Mus musculus: one gene and its partner. The protein of the gene in region 2 interacts with the protein of the main gene of each other region in a pairwise test. Links are inferred from orthologs where the notes say so. Each region holds a gene or a part of one and is shown on either strand. Other genes may lie near its edges.

What was found.
Region 1: the proteins of Pias4 (region 2) and Smad7 interact in a two-hybrid assay, tested with the Homo sapiens proteins (2 studies listed by BioGRID and IntAct). The link is inferred for Mus musculus from reciprocal best matches to the Homo sapiens genes PIAS4 and SMAD7.

Annotation. Positions count from the first base shown.
Region 1 is NC_000084.6:75,389,597-75,400,941, forward strand, and holds the end of Smad7 (mothers against decapentaplegic homolog 7), read left to right. Parts: intron 1-4,230; coding exon 4,231-4,769; 3' UTR 4,770-6,338; downstream 6,339-11,345. UniProt on the Homo sapiens protein: Antagonist of signaling by TGF-beta (transforming growth factor) type 1 receptor superfamily members; has been shown to inhibit TGF-beta (Transforming growth factor) and activin signaling by associating with their receptors thus preventing SMAD2 access.
Region 2 is NC_000076.6:81,160,983-81,174,025, forward strand, and holds the start of Pias4 (E3 SUMO-protein ligase PIAS4), read right to left. Parts: upstream 6,739-13,043; 5' UTR 6,730-6,738; coding exon 6,703-6,729; intron 3,209-6,702; coding exon 2,803-3,208; intron 1-2,802.

The DNA of each region.
Region 1 (11,345 bases), on a different chromosome or scaffold from region 2:
TGTCTACTGGTCTGCCCTTTGTTTGCCTTGACCCTTTGTTTGCCCTGACGTTGGTGATTGACTGCAGGAGGAGCTTGCATGCCAGCCTACCCTCAGGTTTTGGCAGAAAAATAGGACTTTACAGTCCAAGTGCCTCACAGAGGTGAGAGTGGGTGAGACCCTCCTCCTTGGCCATCTCCTACTCCAGCCAGCCACCCCATGTCTTTCTTGGCAGTTGGGGACAGTTAACCTTGTGAGTGCCCATTCTGTGACTCTGTCTATTCTGGCTTCATTTTGCAATCTTGTTTTCTGTCACAAGAGATCTAAACACCAGGACTCTGCCATGAGTACCTGTATGTGAGCCCCCAACTGTTGGGGGTGTATTTGTCTAGTCGGAATCCCGTTGTTTGTGGGTGACCTCAGTCTTCCTCATTTCTCTTCACACCTTTAAGTTTTAGTTATTTACTTATTGTGTGATTTTTGTTTTTTATTGTGGGGGGAGCACAAGGGTACATACAGTGTTTACGTGTGGAGGTCAGCTAGTTCTCTCCTTCCACCATCTGGGCTTCAGGGTGGAAGGAGTCCAGCGTGTCAGGCTTGGTTGTTGGCACCTCGGCCTACTGGGCCATCTCGACAGCTCTATATACCTTTAAATGGTGGGATTTCTTCTGTACCTAACGGGTGGCCTTGGGTGCAGTTGAGGTCCAAAGTATAAGAGGCATTCGTGAGTCTAGTCTATAAGTGTCTGTTCCTTGGTGACCGGGGTGCTAGCTCTTCTTGCTCAGTGGTCTTCCCTATGAACAGTGCAGACACCATGAAACCCTCCCTCTCAGGTCTCTACTGCTCCCTTCCCCTTAAAGGGAAGATTTTATGCATTAGGAAAATGTGGAGGGGGAGGGGCGAACACCTTAATGGAATTTTAGATCTATTCAGCACTTTTTCTGGTATTGCTTCAAAAAAAAAAATCCCCTCAGCTGTAATAAAAAAAAAATTGTGAGCAGGCATCTGATTACGGAGCTTTTTACAATGTAGTTTTTCTTCTGGATGCTTTTGAATGAGTACGCGCCGTTTAAACGCAAGCCCCTGTACACTTTCTGGGGTGGAAAAGTTGCAGAAGAACACCAGAAAGCTTATAATGCTGGGAGAATCGATGAGCAGTAGTCGGTTTGCGCTGGGGATGCAAGCGGTAAAGCCAGAGTTGGACTTCCTGTCCTCTTCCCGTCCCTTTTAAGGTGACCAAGACTTCGCTGGCCCTGCCCGTGTGTCCTGTGAAACTCTAGGAGAGAAATCCCTACCCTAACCTTTGTTGGAAGACTGTGGGCTGCGGGCCCAGCTTAGGTATTTGTTCCGCAGAAAAACGATGTTGGGTATTTCCCATAAGTGAGCCCAGCCATTTTTCAGTCCAAGGTGGGGCATTTGGGTGATGTCTCATAGTGCCCGGCTGCCCTGCGTTCTCAGAAGGTGTGGGACTTCTGCGTTGGGAATGCGTGCACTGAGGGGTTTGCTGGAGTGTTTTGGGCCTCAGAAATAGTCTGGTCAAGAAGCAAGGGGGCTTGTGAAGCTGACTTGTGTGGGGCTGGAGACAGGGAGGTGCAAGCAGGGGTCTTCCTGGAGCTCGTTGAGGGGACGACACCCACACACTACCATTTATCTGGGCTGGGCCATTAACCTCAACAGAAAAGGGCTTTTTCCTCGGGAGGTAGCCTGGCGGCAAATTGCTGGGTAGACTGGCTGTGTAGATGAAAGAGAAACCCAGGCAGGCGTCTTCCCCTCCATACTCTCTCCCCACGGGCCTCAGGCTCCAGCATTGCCCAGTTTGTTCTGTCCCAGAGGCTTGCCTGGCAGACAGGACCCTCACCCCTTGCTAAGGAGGCCAACAGGCCTGGCATGGGGAGCAACTTGATCCCAAACTCCTCCTCCCTCCTCCTTCCTCCTTCACATTCCCTTCCCCCTACCCTTGGTGTCTGGTGCCAGGTTTCAGTGGGGCTGGGCTGCATGAAACAGGCATTGTAAGGCCCCTCTTAAAGAGTCTCCCCAACCTCCCCCCTTCAGCTGCTCCCCAAGTCTTCCTTTCCCTGTCCGGGTTTCTTGACCCAAGTTCCACACACTTTGGGTGAGCACTCTTGTGTCCAGAAGTGTCTTTCTTACTTTCTTGGACTAACTAACTTTAGGGGTCGTTGGTGTGGCCTTCAGAGCTGAGCTCCCTCTCTGCAAGAAAGAAAGTTCAGAGCTTGCCAGCGCTCACGAGTTTATTAGCAGTTGATGGATACTTTGCAGAAACAAGTTAATGCCTGATGAGTCACCTTCTGCTCTGAGCCCTCGTCCCTCTCTTGTTTTTCGTCCTTTCTAGTATGTGCGGGCACAGACATTCCACCATCATAAACGCACACTCAGACACATGCGGTCTTATATGCTTGGGTTGTGGGTCCATGGCACTGGGGGCAGGGGACAGTGCAGGTCTGTGATGTTTTTTTTTTTTCCCCAGTGGCGTGGGGATTCAGGAAAGGAATCCAACACTATCTTGGCATCCTCTTTGTGTGTAGCTGGGCATGGGTCGGGGAGGCCAGCTAGAGGGGGTGTCTGTAAGTAGGGGACAGTCACTCAGGATTTGTGTGTATGTGGCTACCTTTGTGGAAAAAAAAGAAAAAGAAGCAAGCAAGCAAGCAAGCAAGCAACGATCTGACTGGTTCCCAGGTCCTAACATGCCTATAAAACTTGGACTGGATTGATGTACCAGGCTGCCCTGGGTTACCAGCAAGCTGAGTTTTCTCAGTCCTGCCCCTGCATGGGGACAGCCCTCTGAGCCCAGAAACAACAAAGGCCTCGAGGACTAGACACATTCCCGGTACAGCTCCATCTTCAGGGCCCACCAGACTTACTGGAGTGGGAGAGAGGCAGGAGGAGGCTTTCAATTTTGCCCTTGGTGCTCCCCCCCCCCATATACACTCCTTCCCCCTCTTGCCTTCCCCCATTTTTGTTAGCAAATACAAGACTTCCGCTCTCCACCCTGCCGCCACAAACCACAGCGTTCCTGCAGCCCAGCGGGGCTGGGAGATTTATAGGCCTCAGTCTGGGGCCTGTTCTCTCAAGTCTGCTGCCCACTCGAGGGGGAGGGGCTTTCTTAAACATGGCCTCCCCCCCCCCCCCCCCCCCCGCAAAGTTCACAGAACTCTTGTTTAGGAAAGTCACCTTACCAGTGTCACTTCCAGGTTGTTGTGGGGCGGGGGCAGGGGGTGGCTTACAGGAGGGGCGGGCAGACAGGTCGGTGAAAATGTCACAGAGGGCAGCATGGGCTGTGCAGGGTCAAACTGGAGGAGAAGGGGGCACGCCAGCGAGATAGACTGGCAGGAGTATACAAGGATGGTCACGTTTATTTTAGACGTGGCCTCTTCTGTCTGGGCTGGCCATGTGGTCTAGGCTGATGTCCCCCTGCATGTCGTAATTTGGCACTTGGCCTTGAACTAATAACCTTCTTTGTACAGGCTGCTGCTGTCATACAGAGAGAGAGAGAGAGAGAGAGAGAGAGAGAGAGAGAGAGAGAGAGAGAGCGCGTTTCTGTCGGGAAGATGGCTTTAAAAAAATAACATCCTCAGAGTCACCCTCATCTTTATTTTTACCGTCTGATGTTCCCTTGGGAGCAGGGCATCGATGTGGATGTGAGAATCGAACAAGCTGGTACAGAGGCCGCAGGTGGACCACCTGGCTTCTCATTCTGACTGGGTCACCACCCAGTAGGCCAGCATCTCTCATCCAGGTCTTGGGGGAGTAGAGAAACTGTCCCTCCAGGTTCCACACCCGTGGGAAGCAACTCTTAATTTAGGCTATTTCTGAGGCCTTATCCCGCTCGAAACAGCAGGACCAGGTTATCAACGGTCCCAGAGTCTGTGCTTCTGGGGACAAGTAGACACTGGGGCTGAGGCTGCAGGCTCAGATGAGACGAGAAGGGAAGATGACAGCAGTAAGCCTCGTAATTAAAGGTGGATTAAGATGTCTTCCCTCCATTAGCACTGTAGACCCTACAGCTAGCCCAGGCTTACCCTACAGCTAGCCCAGGCTTACCCTACAGCTAGCCCAGGCTTACCCTACAGCTAGCCCAGGCTTACCCTCACTCCCTCTTTTGTTTTTATACTGCTTATGGGGACACTCCACATGAATGCACCGTGTACAAATGTGTCTATGTATATTCGAGAAGGAGAAAAAGAACCCGGTCTCTGTCACCACCAACGGTTGTCTGCCATTTTTGTCTTGCAGATTCCCAACTTCTTCTGGAGCCTGGGGATCGGTCACACTGGTGCGTGGTGGCATACTGGGAGGAGAAGACTCGCGTGGGGAGGCTCTACTGTGTCCAAGAGCCCTCCCTGGATATCTTCTATGATCTACCTCAGGGGAATGGCTTTTGCCTCGGACAGCTCAATTCGGACAACAAGAGTCAGCTGGTACAGAAAGTGCGGAGCAAGATCGGCTGTGGCATCCAGCTGACGCGGGAAGTGGATGGCGTGTGGGTTTACAACCGCAGCAGTTACCCCATCTTCATCAAGTCCGCCACACTGGACAACCCGGACTCCAGGACGCTGTTGGTGCACAAAGTGTTCCCTGGTTTCTCCATCAAGGCTTTTGACTATGAGAAAGCCTACAGCCTGCAGCGGCCCAATGACCACGAGTTCATGCAGCAACCATGGACGGGTTTCACCGTGCAGATCAGCTTTGTGAAGGGCTGGGGCCAGTGCTACACCCGCCAGTTCATCAGCAGCTGCCCGTGCTGGCTGGAGGTCATCTTCAACAGCCGGTAGTCGGTCGTGTGGTGGGGAGAAGAGGACAGGGCGGATCGTGAGCCGAGCAGGCCACCGTTCAAACTACTTGCTGCTAACCTTTCCCGAGTGATTGCTTTTCATGCAAACTCTTTGGTTGGTGTTGTTATTGCCATTCATTGTTGGTTTTGTTTTGTTCTGTTCTGGTTTGTTTTTTTTTTTTTTTCCTCCTCCTTTCTCGTCATCCGTGTGTCCCGCTTGTCTTGTTCTTTGAGAAATTAGCTTATGGTGCGGATTTTTGTTGGGTTGTGTGTGTGTGTTTTGTTTTTGTTTTGAGGTGGTGGGTGTGGTTGGCAGGACACCCCCTCCCCCCATATACGAAGACAGGAAACGAGAGTCAGCACTGCCAAGCATGGTGTGTGAAAGTGGGCACCACCTTCCCTTTGGATCAGCGTTTCGGTTGTCCGTGCGTAGGGGTGTACCCGAGCGACAGATGGGGGAAGTGCTTTTTTGTGTGTGTGTTCTTTATGGATGCCCCCGGCTGAGAGGCTCATAGTGCCAAGCTGTGTGTCTCTCTAGCCTTTTGGACACGCTCGGTGGGGCAGAGGCAGTACCTGGGCAGACTGGCAGCAGGTGCCAAGCTCTGCTCCAGCCTGCCGAAGCTGCCCCGCCCCGCCCCGCCCCCGCCCCCACAGGACACGGGCCTATCCACAGGCTTCTGAGAAGCCAGCCTGCTAGAAGGCTGAACCAGAACCAATTGTTTTCATCCCTGTCTTACTGCCGCCTGTCACCCGCTGCCATTGTCGAGTCTGTCTTTTTTGGCCATCTGCTCCTGGATCTCTCTCTTGAGATGGGCTTCCCAAGGGCTGCCGGGACAGCCCCAGTCACAGTATTGCTACCCCAGTACCCTCTCAGGCCCTTCCACCGGGTCCCAGCCGTGGTGGTTTTTTCATCAGGTTTCTCCCAGATGTGGAAAGTCAGCTCAGCACCCCATCCCCCATCCTGTGTGCTGAGCTCTGTAGACCAGCGAGGGGCATCAGGGAGGGACCTGCGCAGTGCCCCCCCTTCCTGCTGAGAAGGGTGTAGCCCCGTCACAACAAAGGTACCATCCCTTGGCTGGCTCCCAGCCCTTCTCTCAGCTCATACGCTCGCTCGTATGATACTTTGACACTGTTCTTAGCTCAATGAGCATGTTTAGAATTTAACATAAGCTATTTTTCTAACTACAAAGGTTTAAATGAACAAGAGAAGCATTCTCATTGGAAATTTAGCATTGTAGTGCTTTGAGAGAGGAAAGGACTCCTTAAAAGAAAAAAAAAGCTGAGATTTATTAAAGAAAAATGTATTTTATGTTATATATAAATATATTATTACTTGTAAATATAAAGACGTTTTATAAGCATCATTATTTATGTATTGTGCAATGTGTATAAACGAGAAGAATAAAGAAAAGATGCACTTTGCTTTAATATAAATGCAAATAACATGCCAAATTAAAAAAAAAAAGATAAACACAAGATTGGTGTTTTTTTCTATGGGTGTTATCACCTAGCTGAATGTTTTTCTAAAGGAGTTTATGTTCCATTAAACAATTTTTAAAATGTATACTGCATCCCTTGTTGTTCAGAGCTTTGTCTTGGCTTGGAGGGAGGCTGGGAGGTCTATCAGTGGAGACAAAGGTGAATCGGCCCGGACTTTGGCTTAGTTCCCAGGTCTGGAGGACCCCCTCCCCTAGATACCCTTCTGTTAGGTGTGACCCAGGTCTTCTCATTGTATATTGGGAAGTGACTAGAGGGAGCCCTGTGGCTGACTTCAGGAGGAAAAGTATCCCTGGGAGACTGGGGTGGGGGGAGGATTGGGTCAGGGACAGAAGAGCAGGGACATCCTCAAGAACCAGGATCCATTGGCCCTTGCTCCTTCCACACCGTCCTGATTCATCCTCCTCAGGGGAGGGGACTGTGGCACCCGGGAAATGGAGGCTTCCACCTCCTCACCCCTCCAGTGATGACGGAGGGAGTTCAGGCTTCATTCTTCCGTCGCTGGGATGTTCATGACTGACGGCTTCACCAGTCCCGTGGTTCTGTTCACCCTGGGGCTCTGTGAGGTCCCTCTTAAGTTCTCTGCCTGCACGAGCTGAGCTGGGACTTCCCATTCATGTTTTAGATTGATGCTCATTATACACATATCAATAATACTACATGTGTACCTGATGCCTGGGGATGTCAGATCCCCTGGAACTTGAGTTACAGATAGCTGCCATGTGGGTGGGAGCTGACAGTCCAACCCAGAACCCTCTGTAAGAGCAACGAGTGCTCTCTCCAACCTTTGATACTAAAGGCACATCACTGGGTGCCAGGAGTGATGTTAATCTTTCTTAGGATCCCCACCCCCCACCCCGCGCGCAAGAATGGAGGCCTTTGGAGGCTAAGGAAGTCAACTGGCAACTATGACCTGAGCTGTAATCCTGTGTGGCCGGTGTCCCATAACTCACTTCCTTGCCCCTGCTGTGGGAGCAGAGCCTCTGGATTTGGAAGGCACAGAGTTCTAGAAGGAGGCCAGATTTGGGTATGGAGTGTGAGTTCTGGTGGGGTGGCTGTCAGACCACTCTGAAGTCTGGCATCTTCAGATCATCTGGCGTTAGGTGGAAGTTGATAACTCTGCTGCAGAAGACACCATCCACTGCCTGTGCCCAGGGCTGTTCTGTAGACATCTCTTCCAGCCTCCCTTGGAGGTTCGGTCTGCCTCTGAAGAGGAAAGGGGATAGTTGGGGGTGGGGGTGGGGGCAGAGTTGTGTTAGGTTTAATGTAGCCTGAAAAAAAAAATCACTTGGTTAGGCTCTGACCTTTTTATTCTTATTTTTTAGTATAGAGTAGATTTTATTTAGGGCATGGGGGGGGGGGGGCGGAGTTAAGAAGGTAGTAGAGGCAGAGAGAAGGAGAGTAGATAAATGGAGGCGGCCATGATCACGTGGAAAGAAGGGGAAAGGTAATGGGAAGGCGGGGCACAAGGGAGCGAGAAGCAAGAGTGTAAGCCGTTCTGACCTTTTTAGTGTCCTGATAATTCTCTTGAGGACTGCCCAAACAGTCTCGATAATGGACCTCCCTGTGGGTACACGAGCCGTCACCCCCTGTTGCTGGTCAGGCAATTTCTTGAGGTTCCTCCACAGGAAGTTTTAGGTCTGATTTGATCACTTAGCTGTGTAATCACTGGGTAGGGCAGGGTTAAGGTGAGCAAGGCAGGTGCCTGTGTTTTCTTAAGTAAATTCTAGTTTGAAAGGTCAGAAGCCTTTTGACCTCTAAACCCAGTTCCCAGGATTTGCAATGTTTGTTTACACCAAGGACTCTCCCAAGATCATGCTATCCTGCAGAGGATGCTGGCGGATCTTCCTGAAACAGTCTATTCTTCAGAGGGTAAATGATTAGCCCCAGAAGACCCAACCCTACACAGCTTGTAGCTGAGGCAGACATGCACCCAGAGACACAGCCCAGAGTGACAGGGACCTCTTTGTTGGTTTGTATTCCCAACAGTTCAAAGAAAGCGGACTCAAGTCCACTGCTATTCCAGATGTGTCAATGGCAAGCAGGGTGCCTAGAATATGGCAAACAATAAATGGCTCACAGTTACTGGCTAGGGAATTGGGCACAGTTGGGTTGGAGTGCTCACTTTGGTGAGTCACCCAACACTTTTGGCCCTCCATTTATGAAACACAAATAGGTATTCGACCTGCCCTGTGGGGCCAGAATGGGGATTATTGAGAAAATACACCCAGAGAGCTAGCTGAGCCATGTGGGATCGCTAATTTTGACCCTACAGATGCAACAATTTCATTCGGTTAAATCAATGAAATGATCAGTTTGAGGGAGTGGAGATTAGGAGTCTCCGACCTTCATCATTCTCTAGACATGTCTAGACATTCTCTAGACAGGGCTGACAGTGTCCTCGGGGTGGTATGCACAGCAAAGTGGGCTGGAGAGAAGATAGCGAATGGATTGTGGGGGATGGTCGACACCGGGGTGAGAGCCCTTCTGTTTAGGATGCCATCAAACTGTTGAACACAGGCCAGTCAGGAGGCAAGGCCACCAGAAGCCATGGCTCCAAAGCCAGGGTGGCCTGCCTTCGGGCAGTGTGGACACAGGCTTTTCAGGGAACAGCCTGCACGGTACAGTCCCGGTTTCCTGGCGCTGGAGCTGCAGGCCTCAAGCTGCCAACTCAGCACTTTTCCCTCAGCCAGAAGTAGCCCCCCTCTCTTTCTGAAAGTAATGATTTTCTAAAAATGGATTCCCTCCCCTCCCCCAGCTGCAATTAATCTACTGAACACAAAGTGGCCGCTGGAGGAGGCTCCTGGAGAGTTCGAACCAATGCACGCTCATTGATTAATTCAGGGATGATTTAGGGGTGGGGAGGGGTTGGGGGGTGCACACAGCCTCTGTGGGGACAGGCTGGGTCCACTTTGGAATCTCTGAGGTGACTGTTAGACCCACACAGACTCATTCAGGAGCCTCCTTCCAGCGAGGCCATAACCAGCCGCTCTGGGTATTTGAGAAGCTGGGCCCAGGCCCCAGGTTTGACATCCTTTCAATGAACCCCAGAAGATGAAGATAGACCTGGGGCTGACATTTTCAGAGAAGCTTTGGCGGAAGGGATACCAGACACATGGAGGACGCTTCCTCCTTTCTGAGGGTTACAGTAAATGGTGGCTTCAGACCTGCCAGTTTCTCTTCTTCTGTGGGCACTTTGGTTTCAAGTACGAGCAGAGAGAGCTCTGGCCCTGTTGAGCACAATGATTGAAATTGTCACCAGGTGTCCCAGCACCTCTCCTATCTTATCCTGCCAGAGTTTTCTTCACAGTGTCGTTGTACTGTGCGTATGATTGTCTCTATTTGTTGTTTTGGTTGCTGTTGTACTCCTGTGGCACAGGGTCAGCTCTGTGACTGTACAGCCTAGCTCCCTGGCATCTAGAATGATACCCAGCAACATAGTAGACACTGCAGGGGCTGCTTGGATGAATCTATGCTCAGTGACTGAGTTTCCGGGAGTGTGGGGGGATGCATTCATATTTCTACCAAATTTCCCTCCCAAACAGTGGGCATCTTCTTACTTTCAGATACCTCATGAAAACAAAGAGGTGGTTCTTGTTATTTTCTTCCCAAAAAGTGAATGAGAACCTGTCCCTCTTAGGGTGGTAATAACAACCACAAACACCAGAGTAGTCACAATTAGAACAGCCTAGGGGCTGGCAAGATGGCCCAGCCGGTGAAAGTGCTTGGATTCCTAAGACTGTGGGACTTTTTAAAGTAAGTCTGTAAAATGTTTTATGCTGTGATGTTTATATTAACGTGTGATCTTGGGGTATGAACAAGAAAGGGAAGGTTGTGGCTTTACATTGATGTGTTTGTGTGTCCATCAGTGGCACTGAATAGTTTTATGCTAACTTGATATAAGCTTTAGTCATTTGAGAGGACAGAACCTCGATTAAGATAATGCCTCCATAAAATTCAGCTGTAGGCAGACCTATAGGGCATTTTCTTAATTAGTGAATGATGGGGGAGGGTGCCACTGAGGGCTGGTGACCCTGGGTTCTATAAAAAAGCAAGCCGAGCTGGGCAGTGGCGGCACACACCTTTAATCCCAGCACTTGGGAGGCAGAGGCAGGTGGATTTCTGAGTTCGAGGCCAGCCTGGTCTACAGAGTGAGTTCCAGGACAGCCAAGGCTACACAGAGAAACCCTGTCTCGAAACAAAGCAAAACAACAAAACAAAACAAAACAAAACGCAGGCTGAGCAAGCCATGAGGACAAGCTAGTAAAGCCAGCAGAGAACAGCCCTCCATGGCCTCCGCATCAGCTCCTGTCTTCAGGTTCCTGCGCTATTTGAGTTCTGGCCCGACTCCCTTCAATGATAAACAGTGATATGGAAGTGTAAGACCCAAGTTGCCTTGGTCCTGGTGTTTCACTGTAGCAATAGTACCCCTACCTAGGACACCACCCAAACCTCATGCTCTGAACTTGATCCTAGAACCCATGCCGAGATAGATTGAGAGACTCGTCTTTAGAGAGCTATCCTCTTCTCTCCAACACCCGTATATTCGCATCACGGACACACGTACAGTAGTTATAAAAAGTACAACAAAGCAAGCCCACTGTGTGTGGGAGAGATTCTCACAAGTTGTGTTGTGTGGTCCTGAAGGGAATGCTGTCACTTTAGCCCATTTTACAGATGAGGATGTGGAGGCTCATGAGTGACCCCCTAGGGAGAGAATGGAAGTCTGTGGCATTCCAAGCCTTGCTGTGGGTCTTAACAGGAGGCTGGAGATGCCAGTGGCTACGGGAAGGGAGAAGCTCTGCAGGGAGGGCTGTTCCAGGGCTAGACTGTCCTGTCTCGTCCGAGCAGGGGCTGTAATCTTTGCTTCACACGGGGCGTCGCGTCATCAGCACCAAGTCTAATGACATACTGCAGCCAGGGAAATTACAGTGCCCAGGAGGTTTGTCCCAGAGGCCCTGCCCAGGGTAATTCCAGAGCAGGGATGGATGCTGGGAAGTAATGAGGACCGGGCGGGCTGCTGGCCTCAGGTGATGGAAGGGTATGTGAGGGAAATGGAGGATTTTACTTTTCATTGAAA
Region 2 (13,043 bases):
GGAGGCTGAGGTGTAGCCTATGCAAAGGCCCTGCAAACAGAGCCAGGCTGGCTTTCCCAGTGTCCTCTGAGAATGCCACAGGGTGGCCCTCTGATCCTAGCACTGTAGGAGCGGAAGCTAGAGGATCACAAGTTCCGGACCAGCTTGGGCTACACTGTGAGCCTGCCTCAAAAACTGCATCAGCGAAACAAGTAACATAGCAGGCTTCCCCAGCAGCCGGGGAGCTAAGACACGTAAGACACATGGGCAGCAAAAGGAGGTAGCAGTGGCTAAAGAGGCTGACATCCCATGGCCCCTAAGGTCACAGGTCCCCCAGCCCAGCCCTGGTCCTGTCCTCAGGTCCAGGCCCCCCATCACTCCTTACTCCCACAACAGCTTCATTCCATCTACATGACCCACAGGAGCCCCAATGAAGCCTCCTCTCACAGGAAGCCCTCCAGCTGCTCAAAGGACACACAGCCCTCGGGTAGGAGTCACCAGCTCCATGGCAGCCGACATCTCCTTCTCCACCGGTTCCTAAACCATCCTCACTTCTGCCTGGGCCCTCAGATCTCGAGTCCTAGGTCAGTTCTGCTGTGGTCAGCAACTGTTACCTACTTGGGTCTGCCTTGCATGGAAGTAAGGGAGAAACCAACATGGAATCCCAGACAGACATGGGTACAGGGCACAGCCTGGTGGGAAAGGAGGTCAGCCTGGGAGGGCTACGAGCTCAGGAGGCTGTGTGTCCTTGGGTGAGTGCCTGGCTCTCTCTGGTTACTAGCCCTCTTAGAGGGTCTGTCAGTACACTCTGGACTGCAGCTGGTGTCCCCTTCCCTTTTCCCCTCCCCCTCCGGGTGCTCAGGTGATTTATGGGTTCAGTCTGCCTGGTGCAGACTAAGCGGTACGCTCTTCCAGAGAATCCTATAGTATCATGGGGCTCATTCTGGCCTGGGAAAGAGGCTGGCCACTGTGAACTGGCATCACAGGGCTCATGCCGGGGATGTGAAATTCTGGGTTTTGAGCTTGAGAGATCATGGCCTTAGATCCAGGATCAGCACTCTTATCCAGCAGTCCCTCGAGGTGTGGGGACCCAGGAAAGGGGGTACCCTGGTGAGAAGGCAGACCAACAGGCTAGACCTCTTTGTTCAAGCTGCTGGTAGACAGGGGAGCATGCTCTCCTGGAGATCAGGTGACCGAGGTCCCAGGGGAGAAGGGCACAGTGATGCATTGTGGGGCGGAGTGACTGCTGGCTTGCTCTGCAGGAAGGAAGCCCTGTCATGCAGGCTGGGAGGCCAGGGGGCCAACCTCCTGATGTCTTCCTCAAGATGACACCCAGTCAACTTGACCCCAAGGCTCCCAAGGGCTGTGGAGACCTTCAGGGAGGCAGCTTGTGGCACTCGGAGCATGACAGGAAGGGCAGAGTAGGCAGGTTAGGGGGCTCTGCCTCCAACCCCCATCAGCACCAAGGGTTTTCAAAAGGGGTGGGACTATAGGTCAGGGGTGGAGCCTCAGTAAGGGGCGGGGCCTCTGATCACAGGAAAAAGTCCACACCATAGGGCACAACCACTGCTGCCTGCTACCCTTCCTCAGGCACCCCCAGCAGCCCCAATTTAAACATAGTGCCCCAAGTCCCAGGATAAGAGGGACATAGCCTTGCTACAGTAGTAGAGTGCTACCCAGGGAAGATAGTCAAGTTGGAATGGAAGTGGGGAGGCCCCTGAGTACCATGTGGGGTTGACAGAGGAACTGCTCATCTCGCAGCCTGCCTCGAGTACTGGGGCCCAACCTTTAGGCTTTACACAGAGACAGACAGGAGGGAGAATAGGGGACCAGGGTGTCTGGAGAACCTGAGAGAGTCCCAGGTCCTAGATGTGGCCCATTAGGACCTGCCAGGTGCACAGCTCAGGGCAGCATCTGTGGCCACAACCCCACTCCACACTGCACGTGGAAGGTCAGGTGCTGCAGAGGGCTTGGAGGCTATCTGTGCCTCAACAGAGAAGATGGGGGTCTGACCAGTCTACACTTCCTGATAACTTGGAACTTACATCTATTTTTCTTTCTTTCTTTTTTTTTTTTTTTTAGCTCAGGTTGGCCTCAAACTCATTGTATAACTGAGGAAAGCCTTGAACTCCCTTCCAAATAACCGAAATGAGCCACTAGGCCTAGCTTTTTTTTTTTTCTTTTAAAAATCAGGGTCTGGGGGTTGGGGATTTAGCTCAGTGGTAGAGTGCTTGCCTAGCAAGTGTAAGGCCCTGGGTTCGGTCCTCAGCTCTGAAAAAAAAAAAAAAAATTTAGGGTCTGGCTGGGCAGTCGTGGTGCACGCCTTTAATCCTAGCACTTGGGAGGCAGAGGCAGGCGGATTTCTGAGTTTGAAGGCAGCCTGGTCTACAGAGTGAGTTCCAGGACAGCCAGGGCTACACAGAGAAAGCCTGTCTTGAAAAAAAACAAGGGAAAAACAAAAACAAAAACAAAAACAAAAACAAAAAAATTCAGGATCTATTTGCCCAGGCTAGACTCAAAATCATGGCTCCTCTTGCCTCAGCTGACTAAGTGGGGGATGAGAGGTCAAGCATGCTAGTGAATGCTCAGCTCACTGTTCAACCTATACCCTCAGCCATACCCTCAGCAGAGTCTTAGTCTGTAGCCCAGTCTAACCCAAAACTCACCTTCCTCCTGCCTTAGCCACTAAGTGATGAAAAGGCCAGTATGTGCTGCCCTGCCACCCGTGTCACGTGTTTGAAGCTGTTAGGTTTGGGGTGGCTGGTCATGGGGCACAGTGCTGAGCCTGCTTTGGGGATCTGCTGGGCGATACCCACCACTCACCCAGTTCAGTGGGCTTCAGCAATTCGTCCAGCATGTTGAAGAAGGGGAGCTTAACCAGGCGTACCTCCGGCTTAAGGGTCTTGGTGGGCAGGCGCCCCAGTCCATTCAAGTACTTCCCGTACAGCACGGGGTAGTCCACGGTGGGCCCTGACAGGGGAGTCCTGGGCATGGAGTGTAGTGCCAGGGGATCCAGGGGCCGTGGTGCCTGTGGGCCGGGCTCTGCACTCTTCTTGGCATAGCGAGTCTCATACAGCTCTTTGATCTTCTTGAAAAGCTCTGGGCTACAGTCGAACTGCACCAGCTGCAAGGCCCTGGTCACCAGTTCGTGCTTCAGCCCACTCTTGCTCCGGCCTACAAAGCCCAGCAGCATCTGCAGGTCTGATACTCGGAAGCTCATCACCATGTTCTGCAAAGGGGAACCACAGCGGCTCTCAGGGGTGTGATCCTCTAATCTGTGTGTCCCCTTACCCTCAGCTCCCTGTGGCAGCCACCAAAATCCTGCTTCCTATGAGTGCTGTCCCAGACTAGGTATGGCCTGCTAGTCTCAGGCCCCTGGGCACTATGGTCTGAGACAGGTCTTCCAGTAAGGCATCCTGGACCCTGCCCTTGGTTTTCAGTCAACCACCAGGGTACCCAGGAACAGAATGGGCCCACATGAGAACAGCTAGTCTCTGAAACCAAACAGAGCAGTGACCAAGCTAATGACACAGTGACACAGATGGGAAGGCCTAGGAATGAACCTATGGGGTACTTCAAGCAAAAAGAAACCAACCAGAGCACAAGGGGACTCCAGAGCACGACCCAGGCCCTCAGGCAGGCTGCTTGCACTCATGACAGCTGATACCTGGGCATGGCACGTCCCCACAGATGGAAGGACCAAGCATCCGTGAGACACAGGCCAGTTGGGCCTGGGGCCTCTTGTGTTAAGTCCTGATGCTGGCCTCCACTGAATGAAAAGTAGAAAGGGACCTCCACAGGGCTGGGACACATACCCGAAGTGTCAAAGCCCACCTGACCAGCCCAGGGGTCATCATCCCACTGGATGTTCACCTGCTGAGTCCCTACGAGGAAGCTCCAAAAAACACCAGAGACTTGGGGTGCCAGATACTTCAGCATGACTTAAGTACTCCCAGTATGACAGGGTGGGCTCAAGTTTGGCCTGGTGGCTACCAGGCTTCCCAGATCTCTAGAGGATTGTAGGGAAGCCCCAACTCTTCAGGGACTCTAGGGTATGCGGCCCTTGGGCACTCCCAATGTGGCCTTCACTTCCTACCGCATGCAGAGACAAACAGCACACAGCACATTTATACTCAAATCCTCACAACTCAGGAGAGAGGCACAGTGAGGTAGGTGCCCTCGAAGGTCCAGCTAAAGTCAGAGAGCTTTGCAGCTCCAATGGTAATCACGGAGTTCCACCACCCAGGACTGATGGCAAGCGTCTGAGCAGCCAGGTCGCTGCCATATGGTCTGGGTCAGGTTTCTCAGCAGCTGCTATGGCCTGAGCAGCCTGCTGGAGAACAGCAGGGCATGGGGACAGACGCACAGGAAGAAGCCTCCATCCATCACCCGGAGTGTATTTCCCGCCCTGGCACAGACTACCAGGGCCGAGTTTATAAACAGCATCAGCACCATGACTTCTGGAGATTCAGCTTGGGGTGTGATGTGGAGTGACAACCCAAACACAGAGAGAGAAGTGGCTGTACTTAGCTGTGACACTAGCCTAGGCTCTTTAGAAAGCTGAGATGCCCAACACAGGGGCAAAGGACGAAGGCTTGGCCCCAAGCCTGCTGCAGGCACCATTCACCCACAGGATGATGGAGCATGGTCCATTCATCCACAAACACCACAATCTCGCTTCCTGGAAACCCCAGGATGCCTCAAAAGACAGAATCTCTGGCCTGTTGGGACAGATTGGAGGAAAGCTACCAGAAAAGTGGAGGTATTGCTATCATTCTTAAAACACTGTGAGGGGCCATGACAGGAGTCCTCTGGACCATTTCAGAGTTTCAAAGAAGAGTCAAGTTCACCTAACTAAGGTGGAGGTGGAGGTCTAGGGGGCAGAGAGTCAAGTAGAGGTCATCAGCTTTTATTTAAAGAATCTAGACCGCAAAGAAGCAATCGCAGCCCTTCTCACTGAGGGGGGATGAAGGTACAGAGTCTTTGGCCTCACCCCAATGTTCTAGGATGGTACAAGGGGGACTTCAAGGAGTAAAACTGTGTTCCAGCCGGGCGTGGTGGCCCACACCTTTAATCCTAGCACTTGGGAGGCAGAGGCAGGCGATTTTCTGAATTCAAGGCCAGCCTGGTCTACAGAGTGAGTTCCAGGACAGCCAGGGCTACACAGAGAAACTCTTTCTCAAAAAAACCAAATAAAAAACAAAAAAAACTCCTGCGTTCCAGATCATAGTTTACATATCTCCATCTCAAAGTTCTGTTTCCCAAGAGAAAACCACTATGTAAATGGTGTAGATTTGGGGTGAGTAAATGGTGAGAAAGAGGGGTACACTTTTTTTTTTTTTTTTTTTTTGGTTTTTCAGGACAGGGCTTCTCTGTGTAGCCCTGGCTGTCCTGGAACTCACTCTGTAGATCAGGCTGGCCTTAAACTCAGAAATCCGCCTGCCTCTGCCTCCCGAGCACTGGGATTAAAGGCGTACGCCACCACGCCCAGCTGCACTTTTTTTTTTAAATGATTTTTTGAAACAGGATTTCTCTGTGGAGCCCTGGCTGTCCAGGAACTCACTTTGTAGACCATGTTGGCTTTAAACTCACAGAGATTTGCCTCCCTCTGTCTCCAGACCCCTGGGATTAAAGGTGTGCCACCATGCCTGGTGAGGACGACACCTTTTAATCAGATCCTCTAGAATAACCCTAAGGGTCCCAGTGGGGAGGGAAGGACCATGTCACAAGGCAGGCAGAAAAACGGGGGGGGGGGGGGCAAGTCTGAATCTTATGGGTGGGAAGATGCTTGAGGGGGACTGAGGAACTCCAATAACTCTGGAGGGACAAGTGTGCTGGAACCTTGACAGGGAGACAGAGCAGAACTGGATGTAGGCTAAGCCAAGCTGTACTTCAAGAGGGTTTAATGGGGACTCAAGTCAGGTCAGAGCCCTGGTACCTTAATGCAGAAATGGGGGAACAAGTCTAAACAATGTTCCCCTGGACTCAGTCAAGGTGTCCTGTGAGGATCAATCTGAGGAACACATAACAAGGAGGTGGTGGGTCCAGTATGCCAGGCAGCAGAGAAACTCTACAAGGCGATTCACAGGTTAGAGATGGGTTAGAGTGAGACAGGATCACTGGAGGCTGAAGTGAAGAGGTACCCCAGAGCTGACAAGTGGGGAGCGGGACTCGAGGGCTGAGTCTCTAAAATGAACTTGGGCACTTATAGTTGGCCTGAGTCTGGAGTCAGAAGGTGTCAGTCTGAGCCCCGAGAATCAGAGGACTTGTGGCAATCCCTGTAGACCTTCCCCATGCAGGCCTGTGGGGGAGGAAAGAGGGGGGGCACCCGGACCTGAGTCCTACTCGTTGCCTTGGAAACCTGATGGCGAAGTCACTTTGCATTCCTTCGGCTTCCCAGACCACAGAAGGACCCCCAGTTATGTCCCAACAGAGCTAACCCAAAGGAGAGGACAGTGCCTGCACCGGGAAAGCTGTGTAGCCACACTGTGGGAACCCCTGCTAGGGTCAGTAGAGAAGTGACAGTAGACGGCGGGGACACCCCAGGAGGGAGCTGGCGACCCCGCCCCCGGTCTCCCCGCCCCCCGCCCGCAGGTTCAGCCCGCGTCCCAGTCGCACCCTCGCCGCCCGCGCCGCCACACCCCGCCCTCCCAGCTCCCTGCGAGGAGCGGTCCGTACTCCGCCACCCGCCTGTCCCGGCCGGAGCCACTCTCGCTCACTCACTTTGGCCTCCACCAGCTCTGCCGCCATCTTGGCCACTAGCGTCCCCCGCGCCGGGAGGCCCCAGCCGTCGCGTCACGTGAGGGCCCTCGACTAAAGGGCGGAGCCTGCGCGAGAGCCAGTAAAAGCGAGTGCTGGCTCCTTCCTCCACGCCCCCGCGTCTGAGAGGCGGGAGGATGCATCACGCGCACGCGCCTACAGGAACCCCGCCCGAGGATCTGACCAATCACAACGGACAATTGCCAAATCCCGCCCCCCACGGTTATTTTTCAAGGCGCTGGCCGCTACCACGCCCACTCTGGGGAGGAGTCTGCTGCTTAAAGAAATAGCAGCACTTCCCGCCGCCTCATTTCTCTTGCTTTAGAGAACCGCTAAATTTTTGTGTTTATTTAGTGTGTACATATGTGAAAGTCACAAAACAGTCTAGGAAATTAGGTTTTCTCCTTCCACTGTGTAGGTAGCAGGGATGAACCAGCTAGTGCCTGAACCATATACCCTTTGCCCTGCTCCCTCTCTTACTGGCCCCACCTTTTCTGTAGAGTACAGGCCGAACCCCCTGCCTCGTTTTCAAATTGGCTTGCGGTGGCAACAGTTGTGGGTTTTTAAAAATTGTTTTTGTTTTTTGAGACAGGTTCACCATGTAGCCCTGGCTCTGTGGAACTCGCTTTGTAGACCAGACTGGCCTCAAACTCACTGAAATCCTCCTGCCCCTGCTTCCGGAGAACTGAGATTAAAGATGAACATAACCAAGCCCTGCGTAGCCTTGCTTCTTTAGGGCACAGAAGCCCCTCTAGCTGCATTTTTCCTTCTTTATTTGTTGGCTCAAGGCTACGCCCACTTTTCTGTGGTCTGTTTTATTTATATACTGGGGGAGACACGCAATTTTTGATCGTCCAAAGACAATCTAAGGGGTTTGTATATTTCCACAATATGGATTCAGGGAATCGAACTCAGGTCATCAGGTTTAGAGACTAACGCGAATAGGTGTGGGTGCGCGCGTTCCAAGCCCCCTAGGTGGACATCAGAGGACAATTTGCTGGAATTGCTTTCTCCTTTAACCAGGTGTCACAAAATGAGTTCTGTGGATCGAACTCCTAATAGACTTCTGGGCGATCACCATTTCAGGGGCCCTCCTTGGCTTTCTAACTACCCACAAGCCCCACCCAACCCCCAAATTTTCGAAGCTTGCACTGGGGCCACGCTCACTTCTAGCCCCGCTCTGGGTTTTTAAGCGAGAACGGCACCGCCCCTTGCTTCCGTTTCATTGGGAGGACTGGACCGCGCCCACGTGGGGAGGGTGGTCTTAAAGGTGTATGTGCTTCCTGCTCTGGTGCATTTTATGGCTCATGTTTACGGTTGCATTTTGATGAAGAGAAGGGTTGGGGATGAACAGAATGCGGCCGGGCAGGTGTCCCTGTTCCCTTCGAGCGGCAGCTGGCAGGTGTAGGGCTCGCATGGCCCTGTAGTGATGGGGTGTGAGCCTAGTCGGCCCTGTGCAGTGCACATCTGGGTCGTCTTGCGTGTGTGTGTGTGTGTGTGTGTGTGTGTGTGTGGTGTGTGTGTGTGTGTGTGTGTGGTGTGTGTGTGTGTGTGTGTGTGTGTGTGTGTGTGGTGGGGTGTGAGCCCAGTTGGCCCGGTGCAGTGCACATCCGGGTCGTCTTTCGTGTGTGTGTGTGTGTGTGTGTGTGTGTGTGTGTGTGGTGTGTGTGTGTGTGTGGTGTGTGTGTGTGTGTGTGTGTGTGGTGGGGTGTGAGCCTAGTTGGCCCGGTGCAGTGCACATCCGGGTCGTCTTTCGTGTGTGTGTGTGTGTGTGTGTGGTGTGTGTGTGTGTGTGTGTGTGTGTGTGGTGGGGTGTGAGCCTAGTTGGCCCGGTGCAGTGCACATCCGGGTCGTCTTTCGTGTGTGTGTGTGTGTGTGTGTGTGTGTGTGTGTGTGTGTGTGTGTGTTAGCATTCTGGTCGATTCTCTGCAAGCCACTCGATCCTTACTCTTGTTCTAACTAAATTAAAAAGAGAGAGAGAGAGCTCTTCCAAGCTTGACTTCTATCGCAAGCCCCCTGTGGCTTCCTAGTACCCACAAGAAGTAGAGTAAAAAGTGTTTTCTTTTGAGAACCGGTCTCATGAAGCTCAGGCTCACCTGGTATTCCCCTCTGTAACTAACCCCACTGTAGCTTCTATTTCTCAAGTGCTGGCGTGACAGGCACGGCTCACCACACCTTATTCTGTGATGCTGAGGATTAAAGAAGGGTTCTCTGTACGATAGGCAAGCACTTCACCAATCGAGCCCCCGCCCCTTTTGTACTCTTGTTCGATATTTATTTATTTATTTATTTATTTATTTATTTTTGGTTTTTCGAGACAGGGTTTCTCTGTAGCCCTGGCTGTCCTGGAGCTCACTTTGTGGACCAGGCTGGCCTCAAACTCAAAAATCTGCCTGCCTCTGCCTCCCAAGTGCTGGGATTAATGGCGTGTGCCACCACCGCCCGGCCGATTTTTTTTTTTTTTTTTTTTTTAGATTTATTTATTTTAGCCAGCCAGTGGTGGCACACAGCACTTGGGAGGCAGAGGCAGGCAGATTTCTGAGTTCAAGGTCAGCCTGGTCTACAGAGTGAGTTCTAGAACACCCAAGGCTACACAGAGAAAACCTGTCTCAAAAAACAAAAACAAAAAAAATTATTTATTTTATGTGTATGTATGTTTTTTCTCTATGTTTATTTGTGCATCGTGCCTACAGAGCTCAGACCCTCTCTGGAACTGGCTGCAGATGATTGTAAATCACCATGTGGGTGTTGGAAACTGATCCTGGGTCTTGTGCAAGAGTGCTCTTACCACTGAGTGGGCTCATCTAACTGCCATGGATGCCCTGACTCCTCTGAGCTATACTTCTGTTTTTGTTGTTGTTGTTTGTTTTGAAAGGTTTTGGTTTTTTGAGATAGGGTTTCTCTGTGTAGCTCTGGCTGTCCTGGAACTCACTCTGTGGAACAGGCTGGCCTAAAACTCAGAGATCCACCTGCCTCTGCTTCCATGACACATGGGACTAATGCTGTGGCCACAATCCTGGCTTCCACTTTGGTTTTTGGACAGATTTTTTTTCACTTAACCTCCCATGCATCGGGTGTGCTAAACTGGTGGCCACTTCAGGGATGCTGGGGTCTCAACCTCCCCTTTGCTACAATGACAGATGAGCTACTATACCTGAATTTTTGCATAGTTTAAGAATTTGAACTCAGATCCCTTGTGTGTGCCGCAAATGATTTCCCTACTAAAACAACTCTCTGGCTCACTACCATCATTATAGCTTGACAGCAACACTTCTCTTAAAAGATCTGTCTTGGGCTGGAGAGATGGCTCAGCAGGTAAGAGCACTGACTGCTTTTCAGAAGGTCCTGAGTTCAAATCCCAGCAACTACATGGTGGCTCACAACCATCCGTAATGAGATTGGATGCACTCTTCTGGAGTGTCTGAAGACAGCTACAATGTACTTACATATAATAAATAAATAAATCTTAAAAAAAAAACTGTCTTCCAATTTCTGTTTTAAGTGGCCTTTCAGAATGGACTTCATTTCTTAGAATTCTGTAGGCACCTGGTGTCACATGATCAGAATCTATCTAATGTGATACATTCTTCTTCTTTTCTTTCCTCCTTGGCCTAAACTGGAATAATCCACCTAATACTGGACCTTGAGGAGGAAGACCATCTTTTAGAGACCTTAAAAGAAAGCTTGAAAGAGACCCTTTTTGTTTGTTTGTTTTGTTTTTCAAGACAGGGTCTCTCTGTGTAGCCCTGGCTGTCCTGGAACTCACTCTGTAAACCAGGCTGGCCTCGAACCCAGAAATCTGCCTGCCTCTTCCTTCCAAGCGCTGGGATTAAAGGCGTGCATCACCACTGCCCGGCTAGATCCTTTTTTTTTTTTTAATAATGCTTTTTAAAAAGATTTATTTATGATTATAAATAAGTACACTGTAGTTGTCTTCAAATGCACCAGAAGAGGGCGTCAGATCTCATTATGGATGGTTATGAGCCACCATGTGGTTGCTGGGATTTGAACTCAGGATCTTCAGAAGAGCAGTCAGTGCTCTTAACCACTGAGCCATCTCACCAGCTCAGATCCTTTTTTTTAAAAAATACACACACACACTTTATTGTCTTTTTTCTCTTTTTTAAAAAAGAATTATTTATTTTTCTTTATACAAGTCCAGGCTGTCTTCAGACACACACCAGAAGAGGGCATTGGATCCCATTACAGATGGTTGTGAGCCACCATGTGGTTACTGGGAATTGAACTCAGAACCGTTGGAAGAGCAGTCAGTGCTCTTAACCACTGAGCCATCTCTCCAGCCCTTTTCTTCTTTTCCAGACAAGATTTGTGTCTGGAGTCCTGAAACTTGCTCTGTAAACCAGGCTCTGCCTGCCGTGTGCTGGGATTAAAGGGATGTCATTGCAGGTTTCCGTTTAGTATTTCTAACTGTGTGTATATGCTCACACGAGGGCAGTGGCTCAGAGTCCAGAAGACGGTGTTGGGTTCCTTGTGAGACTTCTTATGTGGGTGCTGGGAATCCAACCAGTATCTTGTGTTGTATCAGCTCTCCTACCCAGGTAGCCATCTCCCCATCCCCAGCTAGGCCTACATTCCCTTTCATTTCACCTATTTGTTTTTTTTTTTTTTTTTAAAGATTTATTTTATTAATATATGTAAGTACACTGTAGCTGTCTTCAGACACTCCAGAAGAGGGAGTCAGATCTTGTTGCGGATGGTTGTGAGCCACCATGTGGTTGCTGGGATTTGAACTTTGGACCTTTGGAAGAGCAGTCGGGTGCTCTTACCCACTGAGCCATCTCACCAGCCCCATTTCACCTATTTGTATTACTTCATGGCTTGTTTTCCTTTGTCATGCACATACGACTTTGTCCGCAATCAGTGTGTATGTGTGGGTCAGAAGTTGACATCAGGTGTTGTCCTTCATCTTTATTTTCTACTTAATTGAGGAAGAGACAAGAGAATCCCTTTGGATCAGTGGCAGGCTAGTTTAGCCTCGTGGAACTCCATATTCTCCAAGGGCACGCTGAAGGTTTTTATGCAGGAACTGGTATTGAACACAGATTTTCATGGTTTCATGGCAAGTACTTAACCAATTGAGCGATGACTCAAGCCTTGGTTTTTGTTTGTTTTGTTTTTTTTTTTTCTTGTGATTTTAGCCAGAGTCTTATGTAGCCCAGCTGCCCGCTGCACTCGGTATCCTCCCACCTCCATCTCCCCAGTGCTAGGAAGTCTGGTTTGTGGTGTTGATGATGGTTTGGTGCATGCTAGGCTTGCCCACTGTCCACTGAGCCCCAGTCCCACTCCTCTTTATTATAGGTACCTCGTTAACTAGTTTGTTATTCATTCTAATGCCCAGAGACATCCAGTAACTTATCCAAGGCCACTCAGTAGATTAAAGCAGGACCAGAATTTAAACTTACATCTTGTCTAACCAAATCTTAAATATGATTTATTTCAACGTATATATTTCTTCCCTACACAGAGGAAAGATAGATCCGAGCACCGTGCAGTTGGGTCGTCCTGCCGGCAGGGACCGCTGTATCACGCGCCGCGCACGCGCCGCGCACGCGCAGTGACACCTTCCTGCGTTTTTCTTTGAGCCCCTTTCCTGCACCCTGTCGTGTCCTTGCCCCGCTCTGGCCTAAACTGATTACTGCAGATCCTGAATGGCTGTCTAGCAGCAAGCTCTGCAGATCGTAGTTGTGTACATCTGGCCCCATCCCCACAGTTGTCTGTCACCCAGTCTCGGTCCTGAACATTGCTTTCTACTCTTTCCCTCATTAGCTTCTTAGAATTTAACAAGGCCAATCCCTGAGAGCAATGTAACTGTTTCTCTTCAAAATAAAATGTAATTACTTAGTCCAGAAAGTGGCACACTCCTTTAGCCCCGACCCTAGAGACCCAGAGCCAGGGAGAATGTCTGAGGTTCCAGGCCAGACCACAACGGTGCTCAGTTAGGCCTTGTCTCAGAGTTTTGTTTTCAAATACATTCTATTTTAACTGGTGTGGTAGCCCGCACCTTTGATCCCAGAAGTTTCAAGTTAGACGCAGGCAGATCTCTGTGAATTTGAGGCCACTCTGGTTTACATAGTGAGTTTCAGGCCAGCCAGTACTATGTAGACAAACTCTGTCTCAAACAAAAATGATTTTTTTTTTTGAACGAGGGTCTCCTGTAGCCCAGGCTGACTTGATCTTGGCTCCTGCTTCCACCTGCATCCTGTTCTGGTTTCTGTAGTATTTGAGATGGAAGTCAGACCCCTGTGCCTGCTTGGTCAGTACTTGCTGAACTCAGTCCAGCTCGA